2 linked regions of the Oreochromis niloticus genome follow. The protein of the gene in region 2 interacts with the protein of the main gene of each other region in a pairwise test. Links are inferred from orthologs where the notes say so. Each region holds a gene or a part of one and is shown on either strand. Other genes may lie near its edges.

What was found.
Region 1: the proteins of cep70 (region 2) and leng1 interact in binary tests that used the Homo sapiens proteins (3 or more experiments, as listed by UniProt). The two-hybrid records come from large-scale screens. The link is inferred for Oreochromis niloticus from reciprocal best matches to the Homo sapiens genes CEP70 and LENG1.

Annotation. Positions count from the first base shown.
Region 1 is NC_031976.2:22,043,177-22,046,929, reverse strand, and holds the start of leng1 (leukocyte receptor cluster member 1), read left to right. Parts: upstream 1-1,523; 5' UTR 1,524-1,640; exon of another isoform or gene 1,641-1,741; intron 1,742-1,948; 5' UTR 1,949-1,989; coding exon 1,990-2,121; intron 2,122-3,753.
Region 2 is NC_031986.2:2,894,767-2,898,519, forward strand, and holds the start of cep70 (centrosomal protein of 70 kDa), read left to right. Parts: upstream 1-1,181; 5' UTR 1,182-1,232; coding exon 1,233-1,310; intron 1,311-1,380; coding exon 1,381-1,480; intron 1,481-1,885; coding exon 1,886-2,009; intron 2,010-3,093; coding exon 3,094-3,274; intron 3,275-3,753.

The DNA of each region.
Region 1 (3,753 bases), on a different chromosome or scaffold from region 2:
AAAAAGACAAAAATTCGACTCGCCATTTACTTATTTAAGTATTTTTTGCCTATTAAAAAACATTCAGCTGAAGACTCATTCCACGCACTTATATAAAAACAACTTAAGGTGCAATATGGACATTATGGACCATGCTGAGCATCCTCTGCATCCTCTGCACACGGCCATAAACAACCAGAGGAGTCTGTTCAGTGAGAGGTTGCTTCTCCCAGAGTCAATGACCAGCAGATTTAAAAAGTCCTTTGTCCCACACGCCATCAAACTGTCTAACTCCTGGCTGGAGGGGAGCAACAGTTTTTGTTAATATCCAACGGTGTAATAGACTCACGATACTTGAAATGTGCCGTTCCCTTGTATTCTTATTCCTATTTATTCTATTTATCCCTTTTGTATTCTCTGTATTTATATATGTCTTTGTATTTATATGTGTGTATATATGGTATATTTCTGCTCACATTCTGCAACTTCTGTCGGTGCTGTGCAACTGGAAACTGAATTTCCCGGAGGAACCGACCCGAGGGATAAATAAAGTTTCATCTAATCTAGTGTACTACCACTCCGCTGTGATATAACGAGCGGTCACGGTCACGTGACTTTCCGTTGCCCTGGAGGTCCACCCATTTGTAGTTAGAGCAACAGAAGATCCCTGAGACAGTTCAGCCATAACTTTAAACTTCTCCTGCTCATACATGCTTGGAACGATCTTGTCACTGAAGTGGACGCGCAACGGGATATCATAGCGTGGCTCAAGCACGTTCATCACAGTTTAAACCCCTTGTTTTGCACAACGGAATACGGCCTCCCGTCTGCAGCTAAACACCCCAGTAGCTTTTGCAATAGCTTTAGCCCGGTCGGATTGGGCAGCAAAGGGCTGCTTAAATGCCGCAAACTCCTCTGCTCCGCCACTTGGACCGCTAGCGCTGGCCATAACTACCGCTTGACAGACTGACCACGCGCACCATACACATATTTATTTTTTTCTTTTTCGAATCTTCGGATCACGTGCGTGCCGAACCGTGGCGTGGGATCGGTTCGGATTTCAGATCAACCGTGATCCGTTGCACCACTAGTCATTAGGCTTCACTTTTAAACAGTAAGTTAAATGGTTTCCTGATTCTCACATGGACTTGGTTTACAGGAGAGCAAACAGTTCCTGATCAAGCAGACTGAGAGCCCGAGTCGGCAAGCTCACATACCGACACATCATGCAGGAGTACAAGACTGAACACGACATATGGGCAAGGATTTACTGTCTTGAAAACAACATAATAAGACTTGTTTTTATGTTTATAATTTAATGCAGGCTAGGTTTTACCACACACGTCTGCACGAAGATAATTGTATTAAAAGTTGTGATTTTTTTTTAAAGGAATACATAAAGAAGGAGAATTAAAACTTGATCGTTATTAGAGTATAGCATTTCCACTATGTAAATAGATTAGTGCCTTTTATGTCTGTCCTTCAAAGCAGATATTTTTTTCTTTACATAATAAAATAAAATGAGAAACATAACAGCCCCCTCTGCTGTCGCCATTGTGTTATTGCTTCAACATGGAGCTACTGTTTACTTCCTGTTTGGGTCTGCCTGTTCCTATGAGCTCCTGCTACCTGTCCAACAAGAGAAATTCTTCACTCAGCAAGTTGGTGACAACGCCTGGGCCCTGTTTTAGAAAGTAAAATGTTAAAAACATTGCTAAATTTGTGGAAATGTGATATCTCTGCGTGGTGCTGAGTCCTTAAGGTAAAGTAGAGGTGGAAAGTAGAAAACATCGGCTAACATTAGCTCGTTAGCTCTGCCTCTCGGGAGGTCAAAGCTGCAAATATAAAGTTTGTTTTTGTATATTTATATACGTTTCCGCTTTGGGACATTGACGCACTTAGTTCCACAACTAGCGGTTTTACTTTGGGGAACTTATTCACGTTTTCCTTCCACTTTTGCCGCTGCTAGCCGACTGCTAACCTACAGTAGTAACAGTCGCCAAGGGAACAATGAACATCCTTCCGAAGAAGAGCTGGCATGTCCGCAACAAAGACAACGTCGCTCGAGTGCGGAGGGACGAGGCCCAGGCAGCAGAGGAGGAGCGCGAGGCCAAGCGTCGCGTGGAGCGCGCGGAGCAAGAGGTGACTCCGGATGGATGACCGTGGCGTGCTGTTACTGTACCCTACCTGGTGCTCTGTTTCCCCTTGTAGTCTGAGCAGGATACCTCAAATTTAAACCAGATATGATCAGAAGCAAGGTTACTAACTTGAACAACTTAAAAAAACGTACTCATTTATAATAACAGTGTGCAGTAAATGTCCTTTTTCAGTAGAGCCTACCTGAGACGCTCTTAGTCCAACCCTAGTTACAAAAAAGTTAGAATACTGTGTAAAGTGTAGCTTTTTAAGTCAAGTAAACCTAAACCTAAATGTACCTTGAAGCACTGATGGTACCTTTCCAGATGTGCAAGCTTCCAGTTCCATAGGCACTAATGCACAAGTTGTACCTTGAGAAACAGTTTTCTACTGTGCGTCAGTCCATTTTGAATAGGCTTTGGCCCAGAGAAGGCAGCGTTTTTACTGCACTGCTGCCTGTGATGCCAAAAATCACAGGCATCTAGTATTGGTATTCAAAGTCTTTGTAATTTTACATTGAATAGCTTTATGCTGAAATTGGTACACAACTTGTAGACACAGTTTTTGCATACCCAATAATGTTACTGAGCGGTTGGCAGTTAATTTTGCAAAAATTACTGCAAAATATTCCTCTAGCTGTTTCCTTTTAGTTAAGCTTACTTTTCCAGCCTTTTGTTACCACTGTCCCAACTTTTTGAGATTTGTTGCTGCCAACAAAATCACTTAAAACATTGGTTATGTTTTCAGTTGTGATTAAGAATTTCATAATACAAATTAATGCATTCTCTTTTTAATTTACATTTTATACAATAAATAAATATCTAGAATATTAAAGCTTTTTTATAGCGGGATGCAAAAATAAATATATTAAAAAGGCAGACTTTTTTTTTTAAATCAAATGTATTACAGAAAAGTTACCCCAAAAAGTAATGTCAGTACTGTACATTAAAGTAAAGTAAAGTAAAGTAAAGTAAAGGACAGGAAACGTGAGATGACATTGAAGTAGCTCAGTATCACAGGGTGTAAAATGTAGCGGGCCGGAATAAAATGTTATCATGCGAGAACAGATTGTTCTTTGCTACACTTATGTATTGCATTGCAGAGATTATTAGGGTTTTACTGTATTTAAAGAAGCTTTGAGCCCATCAGTGAAGGTTTTTTGTCATCCACTGTGACTAAAAAATATTTTTAACCATTTCATTTAACTTACTAAAGCTTAAAATACATTTTTGTTGATCAAATAGACAAGATGTATTGGAAAACATATAGAACTTTGATACGTAACGTAACCCAGATGTCCAGAACCCCTTAAAAGGCCCACACTGATACAGGAAACACCCTGTTTTTATGAAACAACAGAGTGAAAGCAGACTAAATATTAGCAACCACTTATGCATTATGATAGGTAGAGTATATGAGCATCAGATACTGTCCTTGTTGACTGCTGATTAGCATTGTTACTCTGATGTGTCAGCTAACTTTTGTGCTGACTTAATGTTCAAACAGTGTAGTGATCTTTTCTTTATTTCACCTGCAAAAAAAGGTGGATAGTTAATGGTAAAAATATGTAATATACTAATTACAAAAAAACAAAACAAGTTGTTATTATAAACATCAGTTTTGGTCCAGAGTTTTGCA
Region 2 (3,753 bases):
TGTGCTTCGGAGTTTGTACGTGCTTCGGAGTTTGTACGTGTTTTGTCTCTTTGTCTCTTTTATTTATTCACTCCACATAAAATGTCAAAAATTAATTATAAAATACAAAAACCAACTATTTACATTTCAACTTTTAACAATTTACATTTTCAGCTTTTTCCTTTTAAACAAATTTAAAGTGAAACAAAACAAAACACTGCAAACCACAACACAATTAAATATAAATTAAAATATGAAAACAAAAAGAAGATGCACATTCTCTGTCATATGGGGCTGCATGAATAAACTTTCTGAATCCTTCATCATCTGCCACTGAAAATAGTTGTGGATGATTACTATACCTTTCTAATGTGACGTTGTTGTCCCTGGCTCTCTTTCTCTGTCTCTCCCTCCCGCTCTGTTCCTGTGCAACTGCGAGTGTAACTACCGCCCCTCCCCCCTCTGCTCAGCGCAAGCACAAGGCTCGCGTGCGGAGAGAAGCGGAAAAAAGTGCGAGAGAGAGGGTGAGAGAAAGAAAAGAAAAAAACACGGCTCCCAATAAGGAGCCGGCTCGCGTCGTTCACTTCAAAGAGTCGGCTCTAAGAGCCGTTTCGTTCGCGACCGACACATCACTACATCGCGCACTTATTTGAATGACGGAAGGAGCATATTTTCTGTATGAGATGACTGAAAATGAGCAAAGTGTACATCAACAGCTGGTAACTTGTACTAAAATTATCGGTACCAGCCTTCTTTGTTCACTACATTAATATTTGCTAAGCTAACGTTCAGGGCCAACGCTAACTTGTTAGCTACTAGTGCTGCTAACACTGCCTGTGCCTGTTTGCTTGATTAGGATTATATTTTTAACTGGACGTTTATTTATCGACTTTTTACAGGAAGTACTTACAGTAAGGACTTAATTTAACCACTTTAGGAAGTCTAAGGTGAATGAATGTGGTTTGGCTGATTAAAGAATACATTAAACGAAGATTACCAAGTTGTGTTGAGACGCCAAAAGAAGAGCTGTTCACTGAAGCCCTTTGGACACTTGTTGATTTCTTTCTGTAGACTGAACCGATGAAACAGGTAAGCTACGTATTAAAACAGCATGATTAAGGTGATCCGAGGCTGCAGGGTTGTTGGGTCGCCTTTCATACACTGCTTAGCTTCAGCGACCACTCTCAGATACACGAGCTGCATTGTTAGTGAAAGCTGGGTTTACGTTGAGTGGGACGTTTTTACGCGTGGATATGGACGTCAGGACTACTTATGCTTTACAGTCAAGAAATCAAACATATGTTTATCTGTGGAGCTACAAGCAGTTTCAGGTAGAGCTGTATTTCTGTTAACTGGAAAGTGTTGAACTCCGCTGTCAGTGATGGTTTGTGTGTGTTGCAGCAGGAACAAGTGGAGTGGGATGACGTGAACAAACGTTTACAACATCATGGTTTTAAACCGGTGTTTTTTGCAGATCCCGCCGAGAATAAGAGTCCTGCAGGTAAGAATAAAAGTACGAGTATAAGATAGACTTTATCAAAGGTCACGTGTTACGGTGGTCGAAAGTGAACAATCGTATGAGGCTGAAAACTGTAATAACTACAAATGGAAACAAAAAACAGAATTTAAAACGGCTTACTCAGCTGACTAAAGACAGGATGTATAAAGTGGCTCAACAATATAAAGTGTAGCTGATCAATGCTGTTCAGTAAATTAAGTTACTGTGTTAAATGTCAACAGATTTAATTTACATGCAACTTTAAATGAAAAGAATGATTTAAATGGTCTTTTTGTTGTTTACTTCTCTATAAATTCTACCTTGATTTTTAAGCAAAAATGTTTGGCTTTAAGAGGCTAGTCAGTGTGATTTGATAAGTAATGTATACGGCTGTCTGTGTGTTTGTAGATTTGGTCCTTCTGGACAAGAAGTCAGCTGCTGAGCTGAGGACAACTCTGAGGATGATGCTCACAGACTCCGAGAGAAGGCAGGCCCTGATCCAAGAGCTTGTTATGTCCAACAACCAGCTCAAGTAAGTTCGGCACTGTGTAAGAAAAATTCTAAGTGATAATGTGATGTTATTTAGTGATGTTTTCAGTGCAACATGTTTGCAACTATCTGTTTAAACATGGAAACTGTAAATAGCCCCCCCCCCGGACATTATTGCAGTCACACACAAATGTCATCTTACCGGACTGAACCTCAGACTGTCCTGTAACGTGGGTAGGAGAGCTGGGGTCTGTTTCAGTGACACATGCTGGATATTAATAATGTATATGCAGTGTTGTGTAGACCACCTGTCCTGCTGTCATTTAACCTCTCCAACATCAGATGAGTATCAGGAACACACATGTCTTGATCCTCACAGACCAGTACAGGCATGAAATGTGAGACTGGGTGGCACACTGCTGAGATGGAGTATGTATGCTCACCAAGTGTCAGGCAGTTTCTGTTGGTGCTTGGCTTTTCTCCAACAGTTCAGCTCTATTCAATTCAGTTTTATGTTTATAGGGCCAAATGATAACAGTTTCCTCAAGACGCTTTATATTGTCAGGTAAAGACCCCAAATTAAAACAGAGAAACCCAACAATCATATGACCCCCTATGAGCAAGTGCTTGGCGACAGCGGGAAGGAAAAACTCCCTTTTAACAGGAAGAAACCTCCTGCAGAACCAGGCTCAGGGAGGGGCGGGGCCATCTGCTGTGATTGGTTGGGGTGAGAGAAGAAAACAGGATAAAGACATGCTGTGGAAGAGAGACAGAGATTAATAACAGATATGATTCAGTGCAGCGAGGTCTATAGAAGAAAGCAGTCCTACATATTTGTTTAATATGAAGGACATATCCTGGTCAAAAATGACTCCAAGGTTCCTCACAGTGTTATTAGATGACATGGTAATGCCATCCAGAGTAAGAGTCTGGCACATTCCTCTTGGTACACATGCTCTTCTTTCCTCACCCTTTGAGATTTTAACTTGTTGATTCTGTTTTAAGAATTTTACGTAGAAGATTGAAGTTATGTTGCAATAAAGTATTCGGTGAGCCTTTCAGGACCTTCAGGACTACACAAACTGCAGTCAGCAGGTGCAGAGATGCTTTGCTTTGTGTGTTGTTAGAATGGAGGTTCAGGAGCACATGAGCCGAGCAGCTCAGCAGTCTCAGAGGGTCACAGAGCTGGAGGAACTGTTGGAGAAGGTGAAGACCAGAGTCCAGGATCTGGAGGACCGCTACCTTAGCAAGGCAGTCCAGCAGCACAGCCACACACAGCAACTGCAGAAGGAAAAACTGGAAGCACATGTGAGTCATTCAGTTTTTTATTTCACACTCCTTTAAATTTCACATTAACAAAAGGGCATTTACAAAGAGTCAAAACAAACGGAACAAGCACTCAAAGCCACAGTTACTTCTTTGTATTCTTTTTCTTTCAAGCTCCAACTCAGCACCAAGTTCATTAAATTTCCTTTGGAAGACTTAGTCATAATCATGCTGAACAGCTCTGTGCATGTAAAACACTGAACAAACACTATAATTCATATAAGCAGACGTCTCCAGGTGTCTGCTGAAGTTTACATGATGTGAACATATTATCTGTAATGAACAAAGATATTCCCGAGTCCCCAACGTTAACATTGAACCTTGAGCTGTTTCCCTAACATTTAACAGGCTACCCTGATCTCTTTAAGATGAATTTAGGTGTTTATTTTCATCAACTGTATGTTTTCTTATAGAGCACACATTTAAACATTAATGTTTCATGTTTCAATGGTTTGCATTTT